3 linked regions of the Arabidopsis thaliana genome follow. The protein of the gene in region 3 interacts with the protein of the main gene of each other region in a pairwise test. Each region holds a gene or a part of one and is shown on either strand. Other genes may lie near its edges.

Region 1 (6,713 bases), on a different chromosome or scaffold from region 3:
TTCTTACTTAATCTGAAGTTATAGATAACTAATAAAGTGTATATCAAAGTTTTTTTCAATGTTTAAAAAGACGCGAACACATCTAACTGGAAGTGTGCCTCTTGTCTTACGGATGTCCTTCTAGTAGAACATCTATAAAAATCTGAAAATCTTTCGGAAAAACAAAAAAAAAAACTTACAAATTGTTTTCCATCTAATCACGAACTTGATCATCAGTTCTCGTGATGTTGGAAACAAAAACTCAAAATATCATCACTTCATGTGCATTTGTACTAACACATGCATATCAGTGATTCGTTGGGTTCTTCAATTTTAGTAAAAAAGTTTTTTTTTTATCAAAACCATTTCTAAAAAAATTCAATTAGAAATTACGATAATTTTGACAAAATAAGGGCTACTTTCATTATTTATTATTTATGAATTTTGAAAAAATCCTAATGTGTTGACATTGTTCAAATAAAGAACTAATAAAGTTTTAGATGGAAAAAAAAAAGAACTACGTGTTTTTTTGGTGAAACTTTTGAATAAAGTAATAAGACCTACCCATATGATGATCTAACCTACCCAAGTTATCACTTGTATCGGAAAGTCCCCAAACTTATCTTTCTGGTTGTGTCGGCCAAATGTATCCCAACTAATACACACAATTTCACTTTGAATTTCTCTTTCTCTTCTTCCAGAAGATTTCTCCTTCTATCGTTGACCTAAATGATTGATCTGTCTTGGTTATTTTGTCACACGATGTGTATGCCAATCAGCTTTGGACTACAATGCATGTTAAGGTTCGTACTAAAAAAAACTCAGCATGAAGAATGTTGGTTCGAGGACTTAAATTCTGATCTGACGTAGCTAGTCTATCGATTATCTGCCTTTAAACCAAAGCTTTTTGGATTAAAGATAGGTAATCCGTGCGTTGAAGGTATATCATTTTCTTACCCAACAAATTCATTTAACCTCATAGTATAAATTTCGTTTGGTTTTGATTTTTGATAGCGACAATATATGCCTTTTCAATTAAAAGTGAAAAGAAAAAAACGCATGCCATTTACTTGTTTGAGTAAGTTACTCATTATGGTATATGCTCTTCAAGAAAACAAATCAAATACTACTTTTTCGTCACGTATCTTTCTTTTTCAGCTCACCAAAATATAACTTTCAAGGAATCATATCAAAACTTTACTATTTACATGGATTTTGTGCATTTGCATAATTTACGTATACAAATCCCAAAGGTTAGCGTTTTTGCCAACTATATATATAGATACTAGCTAGATGATTATCCAGATTTACTTCTTCTTTTTTAATAATATATATATCGTATATCCATTAAATGTGTAAACCTTTACTTCTAACAGATTTAGAGATCTATAAAACGTATACACTAAGAATTATTTAGAAAAACTAGAAGTTTGAAATAAGTTATTGTCTCTCTAATACACCAATATTGCTTCTTATGTTCATTACAATTTTACAAATGTATGCTTACCAGATTACAAAAGCATGTTGAAAATTCGAAGTTATGATACCAATTTATTAGTAGCGAATGTAAAAAAGACTAAACATAAATTGGACGTAGTCCACCAAGATATATAATGTTATAATTAGCGGGGTAAAATATTGATTTAATACTGGAGGCGTAATAACATCTTGTTTCAGAATTCCAACAACGTACGAGTAAGAAAAACAAAAATACAGTTCTCAACAGACTAATTGGACGTAAAACTCTAGGCCAGCCAAACTGACAAAGCATATGACAAAAATATAAATGATAGAATTGGCAATTTCAGAATTTTCCATCGATCATGCTAAAATGAACATTAGTTGGAACCCAAAAACATTTTTGTTTATCTTGCACATACAAACAGAGCTATAGGTTACGTTATGACTTATGATGTTCTGATTTATTGATCAAATCACACATCAGTTTTTTCCCAACAGATATCAATTTCATTATGTAATGATACATATAGTCTGATAGTATTATTCGTCTGTTGAGAACAACGGCTTTTTGTTGGATACAAGTTTTTTTGTTTCGTCAAAACAAGTTTAATTTTGGACTTCATCACTTCAATAAGAAAAAGAAACCAACTGAAAATAAATGCACCGTATAAATTTAGTTCACCAAATTATATAAATGTGGAAAAGAATCTTTAAAGGTTACGCCACTATTGAACATAGATCAGGAAAATGCCGAAAGTGAAGAAGATGGCGACTTTTAACTTACAATATTAGCAATATTTTTGGTCATATCGTATTAAAATTGATGACCTACCATTTAAAAATGGTGGATATAACTTCTTCTAGCATATGTTACTATAATGAATGATCAATTCTGAATTCTCATACATATGACTTCACAACGGAAACTTTTTGCTTTAGAGTTTCATAAATAGTTTACGACATACAATTTTTCATGCATTCCACTCACGAGAACAACTTTATACGTAACATGCAATTGCAAAACTACAATAATCGGGTTTACATGTAACATAGCATCTAATAAAAATCTTCACTTCCTTTATTAAAAAATAATAAAAATTGAAAACAAGAAGACCAAGTTCAAGTTCAACGAAGGTCGTCACAAATTATTTGAAGACCGTGTGCGAAACCATTTTTTAAACTCATTGTAACCTTTTAATTATTATTTTAACTTACGTATGTATTGGTTAAAACTTAAAACACTTGCCTGATTACACTACTTTTTTTTTTTGTTGGAAATCTTTTCAATTTATTTTGCTCGATATACTTCTCAGGTTGTATACGTCTAAATCTTGAGGAAAATTCATATCTTGCAGAAATATAATTCTCGTACCAGAATACGTGGGCACCCACAAACACTGTGGAACAACAGTAGAAGTTTTTGATCGTCATTGTTCCACTATGGATGCAAGTGGTGGACATATATAGTTATGTGTATATATATACTAGTAAATGCACACAATCGATATAACAAGTTATTCTAAAATTTAACCCAAAAAAAAAAAAAGAGAAGAAAAAGACTCAACATGGTTCATGCTGATGGTCATAATTTTCCCGGTTCGGATCCAAACCCTCATATGAACAAGTTCGCTTTCGGGTGTGCCATTGTTGCTTCCATCATTTCTATCATCTTTGGATATGGTAACATACTAACATTCTCTACATATCAAACAAAAGTTTTCTACATATATCATATAAAGATATATTCAATGGAATTATATTAATGATTTTATATTAACGAATATTTTTTTTTTTGTAATGGTGTGTTGTCCTTAGATACGGGAGTTATGAGCGGAGCTCAGATATTTATAAGAGATGATCTAAAAATAAACGACACTCAGATTGAAGTTTTGGCCGGAATCTTGAATCTTTGTGCACTCGTCGGATCACTAACGGCGGGGAAAACGTCTGACGTCATCGGCCGACGTTACACCATAGCTCTCTCCGCCGTGATATTCTTAGTGGGCTCAGTTCTTATGGGTTACGGCCCAAACTATCCTGTTTTGATGGTCGGACGATGTATTGCCGGAGTTGGTGTAGGGTTTGCTCTCATGATAGCTCCGGTTTACTCTGCCGAGATATCCTCTGCGTCACATAGAGGCTTTCTCACTTCTCTACCTGAGCTTTGTATTAGTCTTGGGATTTTACTAGGCTATGTCTCGAATTACTGTTTTGGGAAACTGACGTTGAAACTTGGATGGAGATTGATGCTTGGAATCGCAGCGTTCCCGTCTTTGATATTGGCTTTTGGGATTACAAGAATGCCCGAGTCGCCGAGGTGGCTTGTGATGCAAGGTAGGTTAGAAGAAGCCAAGAAAATAATGGTTTTGGTATCCAATACGGAAGAAGAAGCTGAAGAACGGTTCAGAGACATCTTAACCGCTGCGGAAGTAGATGTGACAGAGATAAAAGAAGTTGGTGGCGGCGTTAAGAAGAAGAATCACGGTAAAAGTGTTTGGAGGGAGTTGGTGATAAAACCGCGACCTGCGGTGCGTTTGATCTTGATAGCGGCCGTTGGGATACACTTTTTCGAGCATGCGACGGGGATTGAGGCCGTCGTGTTGTACAGCCCGAGAATTTTCAAGAAAGCCGGAGTTGTTTCGAAAGACAAGCTCTTACTAGCCACGGTCGGTGTAGGTTTAACTAAGGCCTTTTTCATAATAATAGCCACTTTCTTGCTCGACAAGGTAGGTCGTAGAAAGCTCCTGTTGACCAGTACGGGTGGGATGGTCTTCGCATTGACCAGTTTAGCGGTTAGTCTCACGATGGTTCAGCGATTTGGGCGGTTAGCGTGGGCATTGAGTTTAAGCATCGTCTCTACGTATGCATTTGTAGCTTTTTTCTCCATAGGGCTTGGACCTATCACATGGGTGTACAGCTCCGAGATATTCCCGTTGAGACTTAGGGCTCAGGGAGCGAGTATAGGTGTTGCGGTTAATAGGATCATGAACGCGACGGTCTCAATGAGTTTTCTGTCGATGACGAAGGCGATCACGACAGGGGGCGTGTTCTTCGTATTCGCCGGAATAGCGGTGGCGGCATGGTGGTTCTTCTTCTTTATGTTGCCGGAGACGAAAGGATTGCCATTGGAGGAGATGGAGAAGCTTTTTGGTGGTGGGGGTCCTCGTGGTGATCGTGACGGACTTGAGATTCAAACTAAAACCATCTCTATTGGGGGTTTCTCATAAGAGTTTCTCACAATTAAAAAAATAAAAATAATAAAAATGAAGGAGAGAGAGTGTAGAAAGATTCTCAGAAACTTTGAGATACTCTCTACAACCCATCATGACAATTCGCTTCTCACTATTGGTTCAACTTTTTAACAAAAATATTTTTTTAATCAAAAATTCAAATTATAATATAATATTAATTTTTTTTTGTTTGAGAAACTTTGTGGGTTTCTCATGGATGGAGATGCCCTTAGAGAGTCAATAATTAGGTTAGATTATCATGGCTATGTAGAATAATTTTTAAATCCAACATGATTTGGCATATCTATTATAAGGTGTGATTTTTTGTAAAGGACAAAGTATGATTTTTATATTCATCCCTTTTTACTGTAGCTAATGAGAATCTACAACCTAATAAAAAACAATAACAATTATTTAATTATAAAATCTAATAGTTCACCAAAACAAAATCATATATCGGTTTGGATTTATAAGAGAGGGTTAAAGTTTAAATTTTATGATTAAACGAAGTTAAATACCAGTTTAGGTTTATAAACGATTTTAGATTTTAGAATCAAACGAGGTTAAATGTCGGTTTAGAGTTATAAACGGGTTTGGATTTTACAATTAGATGAGGTTAAATGTCGGTTTGAGTTTTAGAAAGAACGATTTAAGTTTAGATTTTACAATTAATCGAGTTTAAATGTCGGTTTGGATTTACAAAATAGAATTAGAGTTTAAATTTTGTAATTAAACAAAATTATATATCGGTTTGAGTTTATGAAATAGTGGTTAAGATTATAGATTTTATAATTAAATGAGTTTATTTATTTATTAGGTGACATATTCTAATTGGCTGAAAGAGGTGAATGAAAAGGTGAACCAAGAATTGTTCGATTTTTAACTACACATCTAATTCTAGACTCTAGAGTATGCATATTAATGTTTCCAGAGATCAGAAAGTGCTTAAACAAAACATATTGATCACTTCATGGTTTTTAAGTCTTAGTTTAATTGATGGAAAGGAGAGGATTACCAATACTGAAGTAGAGTCATAGTTGATATTTGAGGGGTGAGAACCCTGAGATTCGTAAAGAAATCGATGAACTTGTGCGTGAAGAAATTAGTTTGATCATGCTCAAAGGTCTAAATAATAAAAAACCTTGACATTTGTTCCCAATTGAAGTCCTTTAATTGTGAGAAAAATTATGTTGCTCTAGAGCAATATTGAAGAAAAAGGAGACATATCACATATGGGAAGACCTGAGGAGCAATGATTTGATTTGACGGACCAAAATAAACCAGAGATTTTCCTGACAAATTAAGGTAATAATGCATGAGGTTACGTGGAAATGAATCAACAATCGTTAGCTCCTAATATCACGGAGCCAAAAAGAGAAAAATTAGACCGGAGATTATTACAATTAGTAACTAACACAAAACTGTTATTAAGACAGAAAGAGAGAGAAGAGGCATGTTTCTCGGAATGAAGACAGAGCAAATCTCAATCTTCCTTTTTCACCTTATTCCTATTATCATTTTCTGATCAAATGTTCAAAAACTCTCTCCCCTTAATCTCTTCCTCTAAGGTACACACTTTCATGCTAATCTCTTAACTAATTTTGTATTAATCTCTTATATTTAGCATTACCTGTTTTGTTAACGATCTAACGAACATAATAAGACAAGAACTTGTTCCAACGTTAACACCATTTTGATTATGATCTGTTTTTTCTACGTGTTGTTGTTGTTGTTCTCAGAATAATTGAGTGGTTAAGGGAGAGAGGAGACGGAGAGTTTTTATTTTCGTTACCGGAAAATTTTGATCTCCGATGGCTTCTTCTCCTGAATCTGCTCCTCCAACAAACTCCACCTCTTCTCCATCTCCACCGTCTAATACCAATTCAACCACCTCTTCTCCGCCGGCTCCGTCTCCTCCTTCTCCTACACCTCCTCAAGGAGACTCATCATCATCGCCACCTCCTGATTCCACATCTCCACCAGCTCCACAAGCTCCTAACCCTCCTAATTCCTCTAATAACTCTCCTTCCCCTCCGTCACAGG
Region 2 (6,602 bases), on a different chromosome or scaffold from region 3:
AACGTATGTTTTTGAATCTTCTCTTTTTAATATATCTCATTGCACATTTTTGTTCAATGATCTTAACAAAGTTTGTGAAACAGCTTATGGACCTGCGAGATGTTCAATGAACAATGGAGACTGCTGGTCTGAAACCAGAAAGGGTCTAACTTTCTCTTCTTGTTCAGTTAAGTGACTGCTGCTTTTTCTTCCACTTTGCTGAAGTTTGAGACTTTTTCTTACCTTTTGTATTTGTTTGATGTAGGACTCAGAGACATCAGGATGTCGTTGCCCTCTAGGTTTCCTTGGAGATGGTCTAAAATGTGAAGGTGAAATTGTTTCGACAATTTGTCATAGTAACATCAGAGTTTCCTTGACATTGTCTCTGACCAATCTTTATTGCTTCCTAATAACTAGACATTGATGAATGCAAAGAGAAATCAGCTTGTAAATGTGATGGCTGCAAATGCAAGAACAATTGGGGAGGATATGAATGCAAATGTTCTAACAATAGTATCTACATGAAAGAAGAGGACACTTGTATCGGTATGTTGAAAACGATGTAAAACTATTTTCAGATATTATTAGAAGGAAAATCTCAATGTAAACATGTGCAGAGAGAAGAAGTGGATCAAGAAGCAGAGGGTTGTTCACAATTGTGGTTCTAACCGCCATCGCGGGTATCTCTTTAGGTGCTTATATATTCTACAAGTACCATCTTCAGGTAATGTCACTTTGCTACTAATTATTATGACTTACCCTTTGCATCAAACTCTAACGATCCTTTTATATATACATTAAAACTACAACTTTGCAGTCATACATGGATTCAGAGATCGTGTCCATTATGTCTCAGTACATACCACTCGATAGCCAAAGCATTAACCAAGACTCTTTTAAGTAAATATATAGGAACTCTTGTCATCTCAAATGAAGATTGTTGAATCTTGTTATATGGGTCCTTTTTGTAAAGAATCAAAATTTTGAGGCGTTTATTTAAGGATTTGAAAGATTTATGCAAAAAGTTTAAAATTACGTAAGTTAAAAACTAAAAAAGAGATTATTGCTTTCATTGAGAGTTGAACTCAAGACCTCCCGCTTACTAAACGGGTGCTCTAACCAACTGAGCTATGAAAGCTTTTGCTTACCTGTCCTGTTTTTAAATAAATATCCTTTCAAACATATGAATACAAGTACCATCTCTCTGCTCAGTGTTCGTCCTCCTCTGATCCTTCAAGTTCAATTTGTTTTTTCTGACCCTAAACGCTAATATTCCCTTGAGTTTTGACCTATATTTGGACCAATGACGTGGATTAGTTCATTCTTTAGAGTTCATCGTCAACGTACTGGTAAGTCTTTGTCTTCTTATGTTTCTGAATGCTGTGATGCTGTTGCTATCTTAATGCCACTTGCGTTGTACATTTTGATCAATGTAACTAATTTAGTAACAGATTTGAGATAACTGGATGAAGTCAATTTAGGTTGCAGAGGATTTCGAAACTGGTTGATTTGAACTCTAAATGACGAGAATGGAGCCTGAGAGAACAATTTTGCAACATAGTTTGGATTCAGTGTACTTAACTCTATTTCATGTTTTGATAAAGAGTCCTTGTGAAAAAGACTTTTCTTATATATACAAACTTTACTTTTTGCAGATTACAGAGAATACAGAACGAAGCAGTTCATGAAGAAAGCAGAATAACACTAGGGTGGAAGGAAGAGACCTTTTCAGAGGTTACATTTCTTCTCTGTTTTCCATAGTTGTTATGTTCTTGGCACAATTTGCTGATGAGCCATATCGAATGTTGCATGAAGACCAAGCAGGAAATAGTATAGTAACATGGCTAAAGTGCAAACACCAAACCTTACAAAAGCCATTGCTCCCAAAGATCCCATGAGAAAGATGTTTGTTGCTATTGATAAGCACGGGAGCCATGGCACTAACGGTACGCCCCACACTTTCGGTGTTCGTTGCTGAGGAACAAAGAATACGATCCCCAAAGTTCCCAAGAACCAGAAAGGAACTGTTACTGTGTAACCGATCCATGATCCCTTGCGCTGCATTCCCCAATACGCCGAAGTACCCATTGAAGAAACAACGACGAATAAGAGACAAGTGATGAGCTTAATGAGATGAACTCTTGGAGTATCTTGTCTCACGTAGTATCTCCTCACGAGTAGTGCGATAGGCATCATTGTGAAGATGAAGAGAGTACTTATCGATAAGAGGCTTGCCAAAACATCTAAACCAGAAAAGAAAGCAATGAGAGCACTTGGAATTGCTACTAGGAGGTTAGCGTTTATCGGTGTTCCTGTTTTGGGATGGACAAGGGCAAATATAGGCGGAATCATGTGGGTCCGTGCGATGTGAGTAACGTATCTCGCTTGTCCCAATGCTCCTACTAAAAGAACTGTGGTCATCCCTTTGAGAGCACCAAGTGCCACCAAGTACTTTCCCCATTTCATTCCAACGCTCTGAAACGCTACTGAGTAAGCTGCATTTGGATCTATATCTGTATACTTCTGCATCATACTCAAGGATAATGCCATCAAGCAGTATATCACTGTTATTATCGACATTGAACCGAGTAACCCGATTGGTATGTCTCTTGATGGATTCTTGGTTTCTTCAGCCATTGTTGCTATGCTATCAAATCCTCCATATGCAAAGTACACAACTGCAGCTGCTCGGAACACTCCCTCAGGTCCAAAAGGCAAGAATGGAGTCAAATTTGATGTGTCGGCGTGGATAAAACCAGCGATTATAACAAAAAATATCACTAAAGTGTTGATAGCAGAAGCTATCCAGTTGAGCAATGAAGTCTTTCTTGTGCTGATCGATGCAATTGTAGCTGAAGCGGCTATAACAACAACAGCTATTGGGTCCAAGAGATTAAAACCGGAACTGAGATCTGTTTTGATCCGTAGAGCGTTCGGGCTACGATTCAGAAGAGTTGCAAAATATGAAGTCCAGGCTCTAGCAACAGCTGCAGTTCCAACAATACTCTCAAGAAGTATATTCCCTGCAGTGATGAACGCCGCAAAATCCCCAAGCTCAATCCGTAGATAGGCGAAAGAACCACCAGCCACAGGGATTTCCACAGCGAATTCCGTGTAGCAGAAGACAGAGAGCATAGCAGAAAGACCTGAAACAACATAAGACAAGACAATAGCTGGTCCTGCTTGCTCATGAGCTTCTTGACCTGTCAAGACAAAGATTCCAGCTCCAATCACCGACCCGAATCCAAACCATACTAAATCCCACCATGTCAAACACCGTTTCATCTCGTGCTCACTCTGTTTCTTGAGCTCAAACCGCTCGTTCTCATCATCAGACCTACTAACCAACCTGTTCTTGAACCTGGAACATGTCTGAGACAGAGCAGCTCTGTAACTACCAAAGCTCTGGAAAGATTCCTCAGGAAAGAAATCTCTCTTGCTCCATCTCCAGTATCCTCTCTCTTCACCTTCCATTCTCTCTGCTTCAAAGATTTGTTAATGAAGAAGAGCTAAAGAGACACCATCTAATTTTGTTCCATTGTTTGACTAGTAGAAGTTTCAGACAGTTTTTTTGTATTTTTGCAGCTTCCCTGACTTTCCTCAACTTTGTGTACTGTCCATTCATAAACCTCCCCACTTGTTAGATTTGCTACGTCACCTTCATAACTCTCATTGTCTTTATTGGCGTCTTCTTACCGTTTCGTTTAGTACTTCAACCATGAAAATTCATGATGATAACATACATAATTCAGTGCTTTTTTACTCTTAGGGGGCTGTAAAATGATAAATTGTCATATTAGTCCTTCAGATTTTTAAAAGATGTACATTTAATCCTCTTTTCTCAATTCGTCATAAATTAACTTCAGTTTATACTCAGGGTTTTAGATTTTCCCGTGAGATCGAATTTGATCAGTGAGAGAGGAGGAGATATGGGTGCTCAGAAGAAAGGCGGCGCCGCCGCTAGGGTTTCAGAGGATGCGGAGGTACAGAGTCGCCACCGATTGCAAGCAATTCTTCTTGCCGACAGTTTCGCCACGAAATTTCGTCCCGTAACCCTAGAACGCCCAAAGGTACTGTTACCGATAGTTAATGTTCCGATGATTGATTACACATTGGCATGGCTCGAATCTGCTGGAATAGAGGAGGTTTTCGTCTTCTGTTGTGCTCATTCGATGCAGGTTATCGAATATCTGGAGAAATCCGAGTGGTATTCGCATCCAAACTTGCTTGTGAGAACGATTGAGTCGCACAAATCCATCAGTGCTGGAGATGCTTTGCGTTACATGTATGAACAACAGACAGAGACGTCTCAGATTCAAGGTGATTTCGTTCTTGTTAGTGGAGATACTGTGAGTAATATGCCACTTGCTGATTTGATTCAAGAGCATAGAGAGAGGAAGAAGAAAGATGAGAAAGCTATTATGACTATGGTTATTAAGCAGTCTAAATCTTCTCCACTTACGCATCAGTCAAGATTAGGAACAGATCAGCTTTTCATTGCTGTTGATCCTTTGACAAAGCAGCTTCTTCATTACGAGGAAGATAAGATTGATCATCCAAGTGGGTCAGTTTGCTTAGAGAAGTCATTGTTGGATACTAATCCTTCTGTTTTAGTATGCAATGATATGCAGGATTGCTACATTGACATATGTTCTCCTGAAGTGCTTAGTCTCTTTGAGGATAACTTTGATTATCAACATCTGCGTCGTCATTTTGTCAAAGGTGTGCTTGTGGATGATATTATGGGTTATAAAATCTTCACTCATGAGATTCACTCGAGCTATGCTGGTAGGATTGATAATTTCCGAAGCTATGACACTGTTAGCAAGGATATAATTCAGAGGTGGACATATCCTTATGTACCAGATATTAATTTCAGTGGAAATCGGCCTCTAAAGCTCGGGAGACAAGGGATATACAAGGCTTCTGATGTAGTTCAATCACGATCTGCTGATGTTGGAGCTTCTACTGTCATTGGATACGGTACGAAAATTGGTCATGGGGATAAAATCATGAACTCGGTTATTGGGAATGGATGCTCTATTGGATCAAATGTGGTGATTGAAGGCTCATACATATGGAACAATGTTACTATTGAAGATGGGTGTGAGATAAGGAACGCTATTGTGTGTGATGGGGTGAAAATCAGAGCAGGAGCTGTTCTGCAGCCTGGTGTTGTTTTGTCTTTCAATGTTGTAGTTGGACGGGACTTTGTTGTGCCTGCATACTCAAAGGTTTCCCTACTTCAACAGCCAACGACAGAAGACAGTGATGAAGAGCTGGAATATGCTGATAGTAGCAGCGGGACTGCGGATCATTTGTCAGGCCTAAATCTGCAAATGGAGTCCAAAGCATCTGAGCTTGGTCCTGATGGAGCAGGTTACATATGGGAAGTATGTGAAGGGGCTCATGATGAGGAGTGGAAGCATTCTGTTGCACCAATCCCCAAGGATAAACTTTCTGAGATTACTCAGGCCATAGACGATGATGACACAGATGATGAAAGTGTCGTCCCGACTTCTGGAGAGTTGAAATCTGATGCTGATAGTATTAACACTGATGTGAATGATCCCAATGATGATTACTATTACTTTGAGAAAGAGGTTGAAGGGACCGTCTTAAGGGCTGTTGAAGAGAATATCAAAGTGGACCTTGTAACTATGGAGATTAACGGGCTGCGGTTGTCATTCAACATGGAATCTGCAGATTGTGCTGGAGCAACATTTTTCTCGATGATAAAACTGGCACTTGATACTCCACACAATTCTGGTAGTGAGTTGTATAAAAACGCAGCGAGTATCATTACAAAATGGAAGGATCTTCTTGGCTTCTACGCAAAGAAAATTGATGAACAGATAGAAGTGATCATGAAATTTGAAGAGATGTGTCAGGAATCTCACAAAGAGTTGGGCCCTTTGTTCACACAAATTCTACATCTTCTATATGACAAGGACGTGTTGCAAGAAGATGCGATACTGAGATGGGAGGAAGAGAAGGCAGGCGCGGATGAAGCTGACAAAGTATATCTGAAACAATGTGATACATTCATACAGTGGCTCAAAGAAGCATCTGAGGAGGAAGATGAAGATGATGAAGATGAAGAAGAAGAAGAAGATAACTGAATTGGTATACCTGAGTTCGATGGCTCTCAACTAGTTGTTCATTATGCAGTTGATGGCCTCACATTTTGATTGATCATTTACTTTTAAGAGCTACTCTGTTTTTTGTTCTGTCATCATCAATAATCTTTTTTTCTTCATGTCTTCTGTTCTGTTGCTTCATGAGATACTTTCTCATCCACGAGTTTGCTCACATGTATCGTTTGATATATAATTTTACTTGAGTACTAAATCTCTTAATTTTTATTTGCCAATTACTCCCTCTACTTTTTCTTATTTCAAAAAATAGCATCACAAATTCACTAGATCCTCCTTCCTCTCGATTCAAGCTTCCTCTTTGGACGAATCGTTTGCTTTCGCATCCCTCGCTCTAACTTGAATTGATCGAGGTGACGTAAGAACCCTAATTTTGGATCCAAGAATCCGGAACCTCCCCAATGGAAAGTAATCTCGCCGGAGACTCAATTCCGGGACCCAAATGGAGGAAAGTAGCCTACGGAGGAA
Region 3 (7,757 bases):
TGACTGTGCCACAACCTGCAGGTGATCAGGACAACCCGACCAACAATGGTTAGTCTTCCACCTGAGAAAACTATCATTGTAACAAAAAAACTTAAATATATGACATTGTTTTTCTATGTGTTGTGAGAAGATAGCAAAGGAATCTCAGCTGGAGTTGTTGTGGCGATCACCGTTCCCACTGTTATTGCCATCTTGATACTGCTGGTTTTAGGATTTGTTCTTTTCCGGAGAAGAAAATCCTACCAAAGAACTAAGACTGAATGTTAGTTTCTTTGTGTTTTACCTCTTTATTGTTTCCTTTCGTTATCAGCATGTATACTCCCGTAGCCAAGACGGGAAACACGAAACTAATACACCCATTCTTTGCAGCTGAAAGTGATATTTCAACTACAGATTCATTGGTATACGATTTTAAGACAATTGAAGCCGCAACTAACAAGTTTTCAACAAGTAATAAGCTTGGTGAAGGTGGATTCGGTGCGGTTTACAAGGTAACAAGGTCTCTGTTTTCCATTTTTTCTAAGTTCATATTGGTTTATGGAAATAACCAACAATGTTTGTTTCATTCATTGTACGTAGGGTAAGCTTTCTAACGGAACTGATGTAGCTGTGAAGCGACTGTCGAAAAAGTCAGGACAAGGCACAAGGGAGTTCAGGAACGAGGCTGTTCTTGTGACAAAACTTCAACATAGGAATCTGGTTAGACTTCTTGGATTCTGTTTGGAAAGAGAGGAACAGATTCTGATCTATGAATTTGTCCACAACAAAAGCCTTGACTACTTTCTTTTCGGTATGGTTCCTGTCAATAATTTTTCTTATTCAAAGGATCCTGCTTCAGCTTTATACTGATTGATTGTCGATATGTGCAGACCCGGAAAAGCAAAGTCAGCTAGACTGGACCCGGCGATACAAGATCATTGGAGGAATTGCTCGAGGGATTCTATATCTTCATCAAGATTCACGGCTCAAAATCATACATCGTGACCTCAAAGCCAGCAACATTCTCTTAGATGCAGACATGAACCCAAAAATTGCAGATTTTGGATTGGCAACTATTTTTGGAGTGGAGCAAACTCAAGGAAACACGAACAGAATTGCTGGAACCTAGTAAGTTCTGCTCGTAGTAGCTGAACACTAAACCATTTTCTATTGCATATTAACCCGTGTTGTATGTTTTTCAGCGCTTACATGTCTCCCGAGTATGCGATGCATGGTCAATACTCCATGAAATCTGACATTTATAGCTTTGGAGTCTTAGTTCTTGAGATTATAAGCGGCAAGAAAAACAGCGGCGTCTACCAGATGGATGAAACTAGTACTGCAGGAAACTTGGTCACTTATGTGAGCATAAAGTCCTCAACTTTCAACAATTTAACATTTTAAAACATATGACCAAGGTACTTAATTGTTCATTGTATTAGGCTTCGAGGCTTTGGAGAAACAAGTCACCATTAGAGCTGGTGGATCCAACTTTTGGAAGGAATTATCAGAGTAATGAAGTCACTAGGTGCATCCATATCGCGCTGTTATGTGTTCAAGAAAATCCAGAAGACCGTCCAATGTTATCAACAATCATCTTAATGCTGACTAGTAACACAATTACTCTACCAGTGCCTCGCCTACCGGGATTTTTCCCACGAAGCAGGCAACTGAAACTGGTATCTGAAGGATCAGAGTCTGATCAGTATACAAGCAAGTCTTCCTCATTTAGTTCGTAAAAATTGATGTGGTTCCTCATCATAGCTTAAAAGTTGTAACAGAAAAATGGTCAGATGACATTTATATTATTTGTCCACGGACATAAGAAACATAGCAGGTTTATCTGTAATTGTATGTTGTACAGTGTCCACTGTAAAATGCTTATGAACAGTTCACAGTTCTTTAAGAATCGTTTCTCGATTACTGGTTTTACTCTCTTCATGCTGAATCAAATTACCTGCTAGATCGTTGTGTAAGCTTAATTTGGAGGGAAAAGTCACTGTTACGTCTTCATGGAGAAACGTGTAAATGGTATATATCTTATACTTGCTTGTGGTTACAATTACAATACAAACATTCTATAACAAAAGAAGTTTTTAACTTATTTTCAACACCAATAGATTCAGGAATCAGGTATGAAGGGAAAAACTCATCATCATCGAGGATGTATATCTGTGATGGATGCATCGTCAACAGACCCTAGAAGAGATTTGCTCGTTGTATCTGTATCAAGCGGGTCTTTTCCAATTCTACTCTGAAAGAAAAGACCGGGTTGCCGTGGCACGGGTAAAGTCACAGTGTTACTAGTGAGCATCAGAACAATGGTTGACAACGTCGGACGCTCAGCAGGATCTTCTTGAACACATAAAAGACCGATATGGACACATCGAACAACTTCATTCCTTTGGCAATTTTCTACAATAGCTGGATCCACGAGTTCTAATGGTCGCCCGTTACTCCAAAGCCCCCAAGCCTAGAATATTATTCAATCAATCAACACTTGCAACTATGTTCAGGTAAATATGGAACTTGATAGGTTTAAAACTTACATATGAGACCAAGTCATGTGCACCATCTGTTTGGTAGAAGCTGCTATTCTTCTTGCCACTTATAATCTCAAGAACTAACACTCCGAAGCTATAGACATCAGATTTCATTGAGTACTGACCATGCATTGCATACTCGGGAGACATGTAACCACTGTAACCCACAACAAAAACTATGTTAACCAAAGGATGTTCAGAAAACTTCAACTTATAAACCCACAACAAAAACTATGTTAACAAAAGAATGTTCAGAAAACTTCAACTTATGAGAAGTTATGAGGAAGACTTACTAGGTACCAACTATTCTGCTTGTGTTCTCTTCGGTTTGGTCCAATCCAAAGATCCTAGCCATTCCAAAATCTGCAATTTTAGGATTCATATCCGCGTCCAAGAGAATGTTACTGGCTTTGAGGTCACGGTGTATGATTGTGAGTCGTGAGTCTTGATGAAGATACAGAATCCCTCGAGCAACTCCACCGATAATCTTGTATCGTCGAGTCCAATCCAGCTGGCCTTTCTTTGCAGGGTCTGTCCACATCCATAAATCACAATGAGATCTCTAAACATTCGTAACCCCAAGTATCAAGAATCATTGAAACAAAGCATTAAATGCAACTAACCAAAGAGGAAGTAATCAAGACTTTTGTTGGGCACATACTCGTAGACCAGTACTCTTTCTTCTCCGTCTAGACAAAACCCAAGAAGTCTAACCAGATTTCTATGTTGTAGCTTTGCAACAAGAACAACCTCGTTCTTGAACTCTACTTCACCTTGTCCTGATGACTTTGATAGTCGCTTCACCGCAACTTCAGTCCCATCCGATAAAGTACCCTGTTGTTTTCATCAGCATCATCCCATTATCCAAAAGTGTTGGCTTAAAATTTCAAGAAAAAAAAAACACAGCTCAAGGGAACTATAATTTACCTTGTAAACCTCACCAAATCCACCTTGACCAATCTTATTACTCTCTACAAAATCATCTGTTGCAGTTTGAATTGTTCTATAATCAAGCTGTAGTGAGTCTGCTGTTGTGATATCATCTCCTGTTACACAATGAAAGTCTTTGAAGCAGGAAAAACAAGCTGAGCATTGACATTAAAGATCGTTTATCACTTGAAATCTTTACCAGCAAATGCAGATGGTGTGTAATAACTCTTCCTTGCCCTTCTTGTAAGGAAACAATAACCAGCTATAAAAAGCAGAACAGCCACTATAATAGGCACAACAATGGCTATCACTAACACCTTTGAATTCCCATCTTTTCCTGCATTTCAAAGATTATTTGCTTAAAAATCAGATAGAAGAAAACTCTCTATATTGGTTTTGCCAATTTCAAGAAATCAGGGCAAAAAAAAAAAACAGAGGAAAAAAACAGAGCTCTGACCAGATCGCGGAGGAGCTGAAACTGGAGGAGTAGAAATTGACGGTGGTGGTGGTGGTGGTGGAACGGCGGATTCGGTGTAAAACGCGTAGATCTCGTATCTTGAAGTACAGCTCGGATTAATAATTCTTGCACCAATTCTGTCAGTAGGTATTTGATTGATGACCAGTTGGAGACAACGCGAACAGTCTTGTCTCGTGAGATCAGGTGTGCACTGAACCAGTCCATAGAAACTCTGCAACGCAGTAAAATTGTTTTTTCTCGTACCGAATTTTTTGGAACTGTTCAAGGCTACGGTGGCGGCTTGGTTCAGAGTAGGCAAAACCAAATCACTTAACAGGTCTAGTTGGTTAGATGTCACATTCCGGGTGTTAACCAAGATAACTCCACCGGTGGTTATTAGTGTCGAGAGAATATTCTGGTTAGAGTATCTAAGTACACACTCATCGTAATAAAGTGTGGCTTCTTTCTGGTTAGGACACCGAGTTAAGGTGTCGTTGACGGCAAAGGAGACGCATCTACGGCAAACTTCCGTTGAGACATCTCCACGGCAGTTGAAAAGTCCGGTGACTCTGTCTGGAGCTTGGCCGACGGTGGCGTTTTGGAATCCGGTGGAGTAGGAAGCGTTGCGGGAAGAAAGAGAAGCCAAAAGGGTCTTGAGATTGTTGTTGTAAGTGCTGTTACTTGTGTAATTTGCCGTATTTTGACAGGTGTGGTATACGTAAGTGGGATCTTGAGCAGAAACTCTGAAACTCGTGAGAAAGGAGAAGAGGAAAAGGAAGAAGAAAGAGGAGTAATAAGACATAATTGGGCTTTCTTGATCTGTGTTTCTTCTCATCAAGCTTTGAGTGATATATGAAACAAATTTGATTGTTTGTTCTCTCTCAGTGACTACCGTAGATAACGTTTTGTGCTGACGAAAAGTCAAGGTCAAGGTCAACGCGTCTCGTATTAAATTGTCGGGTCTTGTCCAACTTCTTGTGTTTAGCTACTAATCCATTACTTATTTTTTTAATATATGAAATATAGAAAAAAATTACGGAAAATATAAAATCATTTTAAAATGAAGAAAATTATCAAAACTGTCAAAATTTAAAACATAATAACTCTAAATTCAAGCTTTGAACTCTAAAGTCTTTTTTTTTTTTGATCAAAAAAAAGGTAGTTGGGATTTTCAAGAGAAAATAAATGTAGCAGTTGGCATGATTTCAAAGATCTTAATTACTAGTAATAGAATTTAGATATACATGAGAGAAACTAGCTAGCAGTAGAATTTGTTTCGTACTTTTCCTTGAACAGAATTGTTGAAATTAGGAATCTTTGTTGACTATTCTTCAAAGAATCATTCTGGGGCTGAAAAAATTGTCGCCACTGATGCGAAGAAATTATTGGTTGATAATAGGTTTTTGTTTTAAGCACGATAATTTATTAATTTGTATATCGTATATGCTAGTATGGTTATTGTGATGTAGTGATACTAAAATAGTATTACCAAATCATCTGCCTATCGTTATCTGATATTGTTAGTTACTAATTATTCTATTACTTTTTATAGTCTTACTCGCGAGAAGTTAAATAACTTGATATTCCACATGACGTCGTTCCATATAATGGTTCCATCATAAGTCCTTTCGTGTTTTCACCCGGATATGAATCTACAGCATATAAGTTTTAATATTTAAAGTTAATATCGGAATATATAAACATGAATTTGCTATATGAATGTGAAATATTTTGACATCATCCGAATACAATGTGTTTTAAAACGAATTTTGCATCCATAAGCTCCATCTAGCTAGTTGCAAAGGTGAGAAATATTTCCTTTTTGGTTCTCAGCTTCTCATGACTATTCCAAAACGAGAAAAAAGGCAATCAAAATTTTTAAAGGCATTCACATATACATAAGGAAAGAGAAAATAAAACCGAGAAGTATTTTATGTTTGATGTATCTCCGATCCTAGTAAAGGCCCAAGATATTGATGCAAGGTATATGAGACCTAGCTCAGCCGTGATTTCTCCGTGAAGAAGACTCAGCTTTGTTAATAATTGAATGAGGCGGTGTATGATGCCAAAACCCTAGTTCGTTCTATTTGATTTTAATGATATTATTCAAAACCCTAGTTTTTAAAAAGTAACTAATTTTTTTTCGTTACTGCCAAGGAAAAACAATCGGCTTTTCATGCAACAAATCTCGTTAAAATTGGTTATGGGCCTGCATGTGAAAATGGAGCCAGAACCAGAAGAGGACTTGGTCAATGCATCGAGAACATTTGCGTAATATTCTTTTTTTTTTCTTTTTTAGTAGTTTTTAATCATCAGCGTAATCTAAGACTCCGACCAAGTCTTACACAAAACAAAAAGAAGAGAAGCTGAGAAATCTGACAAGGAATTAGAAAATGAAAAAGAAAGTTTTTTTCCATTAGTAATAACAGAGGAAAAACTTATGCTTCTGTTGGTTCTCCCTTGCATCTCGCTTTCCTTAGCTCATTTTTACTGTTACGGTGTTACGCACAACTAGAATAATCACTTGGAACACTCAGAATGTTGCAGCGGGCCAGTTCAACGATCAGACGAAGTAAACATCAAGATAGCAAGAGCAACCACTATCGACGACGAATTCAGTTTGTGAGGAAGAGCGTTGGTGTAGCTTGAGACACGTTTCAATCACGTGTAGCTAAAAATATCTAGATAATTGTAATAGAAAATAAATTAAATATTTTATGTATTAATTGGTTTAGTATGAGAAAAGCCAAAACATTGACCAAGTCTAAGATTAAGAAAGCTAGATGAGCAATTCACTATCAAAGACGAGAAGACTGAAGTAAAGACAAAATAAGAAGACTCATTAGCTGCTTCACAATCCTTATCTCTTTGATTGTAAGAAACTGAGTTACTTTATTTCGATGATACCAATTTTAAACGCAGAGAAAAAGCAACACGTCAATTTGTAAAGCAGAGCAAAACGAATTACAACTTGGCCAAAACTTCGACGTAAAAAGCAGCACATCAATTTGCTCTGCTTGGCGACGGTGGTGGTGGTGGAGATGGTGTTCCAATGGTAGTTTCGTTGTAGAACGAGTAAAGCTCGTACCTTGAATTACAACTTGGCCAAAACTGTCTTGCTCCAATTCTAGAAAGTGGCATTCTATTGATGGATCTTGTCAGACATCTCAAACAGTCTTGACTTGTAAGATCAGGAGTGCATTGAACAAGCCCGTACAAAGTCTGGAGTTCGGTCAATTCGGTCTTTATCGTAGAGAATTTTCTAGAACTGTTGGCTGCTTCCATGGCAGCTTGGTTCATATTAGATTGCACCAAAACTATAAACTGGTTTATTTGACTTTGATTAGGAGAAATAGTGTTGGTGTTACTCAAGATAAATTCTCCTTCGTTTGTAATGGCCGTCGATAGAATATTCTTGTCAGAGTATCTGAGTATACACTCCTCGTAATAGAACACAGCTTCTCTCTGACTTGGACACCTAGTTAACGCTTCGTCAACGGAGAAGGCAACGCAGTTACTGCAAACTTCCGGCGAGAGGTCTCCGCGGCAGAGGAAAAGTCCGGTGACCAGGTCGGGGGTTTGTCCCACCGTGACGTTCTGGAATCCGGTGGAGTAAGAGGCGTTGCGGGAAGCAAAAGAGGACAAAAGGGTTCTGAGATTGGTGGAGTAAGTGCTGAATCTTGAGTAAGTTGTCGTATTTGGACAATAATGATTTAAGTAAAAAGGATCTTGAGCGGAAGCTTTGAAGCTAGTGAGGAATGAGAAAAGGAAAAGGAAGATAAAAGAGATCAGAGAAGACATGGTGTTTTTTTCGACTTCGTTGATTTGAGTTTCACATCATGCAGCTT

The links.
Region 1: the proteins of CRK10 (region 3) and AT2G18480 interact in a protein complementation assay, tested with the Arabidopsis thaliana proteins (one large-scale study listed by BioGRID).
Region 2: the proteins of CRK10 (region 3) and CAT5 interact in a protein complementation assay, tested with the Arabidopsis thaliana proteins (one large-scale study listed by BioGRID).

Annotation. Positions count from the first base shown.
Region 1 is NC_003071.7:8,007,536-8,014,248, reverse strand, and holds AT2G18480 (Major facilitator superfamily protein), read left to right. Parts: upstream 1-2,971; 5' UTR 2,972-3,005; coding exon 3,006-3,120; intron 3,121-3,255; coding exon 3,256-4,667; 3' UTR 4,668-5,148; downstream 5,149-6,713. Other genes in the region: PERK4 (roline-rich extensin-like receptor kinase 4), read left to right, coding at 6,482-6,713. UniProt on the Arabidopsis thaliana protein: Plasma membrane sugar-proton symporter.
Region 2 is NC_003071.7:14,742,432-14,749,033, forward strand, and holds CAT5 (cationic amino acid transporter 5), read right to left. Parts: upstream 3,694-6,602; 5' UTR 3,454-3,693; coding exon 1,744-3,453; 3' UTR 1,566-1,743; downstream 1-1,565. Other genes in the region: VSR5 (VACUOLAR SORTING RECEPTOR 5), read left to right, coding at 1-3, 84-166, 245-308, 397-525, 597-703, 797-883; AT2G34970 (Trimeric LpxA-like enzyme), read left to right, coding at 3,909-6,101; SETH1 (phosphatidylinositolglycan synthase family protein), read left to right, coding at 6,536-6,602. UniProt on the Arabidopsis thaliana protein: High-affinity permease involved in the transport of the cationic amino acids (e.g. arginine, and, to a lower extent, citrulline and glutamate). Transport mostly basic amino acids, and, to a lower extent neutral and acidic amino acids.
Region 3 is NC_003075.7:12,135,158-12,142,914, reverse strand, and holds CRK10 (cysteine-rich RLK (RECEPTOR-like protein kinase) 10), read right to left. Parts: upstream 4,921-7,757; 5' UTR 4,745-4,920; coding exon 3,910-4,744; intron 3,790-3,909; coding exon 3,652-3,789; intron 3,569-3,651; coding exon 3,450-3,568; intron 3,357-3,449; coding exon 3,146-3,356; intron 3,054-3,145; coding exon 2,816-3,053; coding exon of another isoform or gene 2,815-2,815; exon of another isoform or gene 2,684-2,814; intron 2,680-2,683; coding exon 2,529-2,679; coding exon of another isoform or gene 2,469-2,528; exon of another isoform or gene 2,453-2,468; coding exon 2,135-2,452; 3' UTR 1,993-2,134; downstream 1-1,992. Other genes in the region: CRK11 (cysteine-rich RLK (RECEPTOR-like protein kinase) 11), read left to right, coding at 1-48, 131-262, 370-491, 580-790, 870-1,107, 1,182-1,341, 1,422-1,718; EP1 (receptor-like protein kinase-related family protein), read right to left, coding at 6,913-7,710.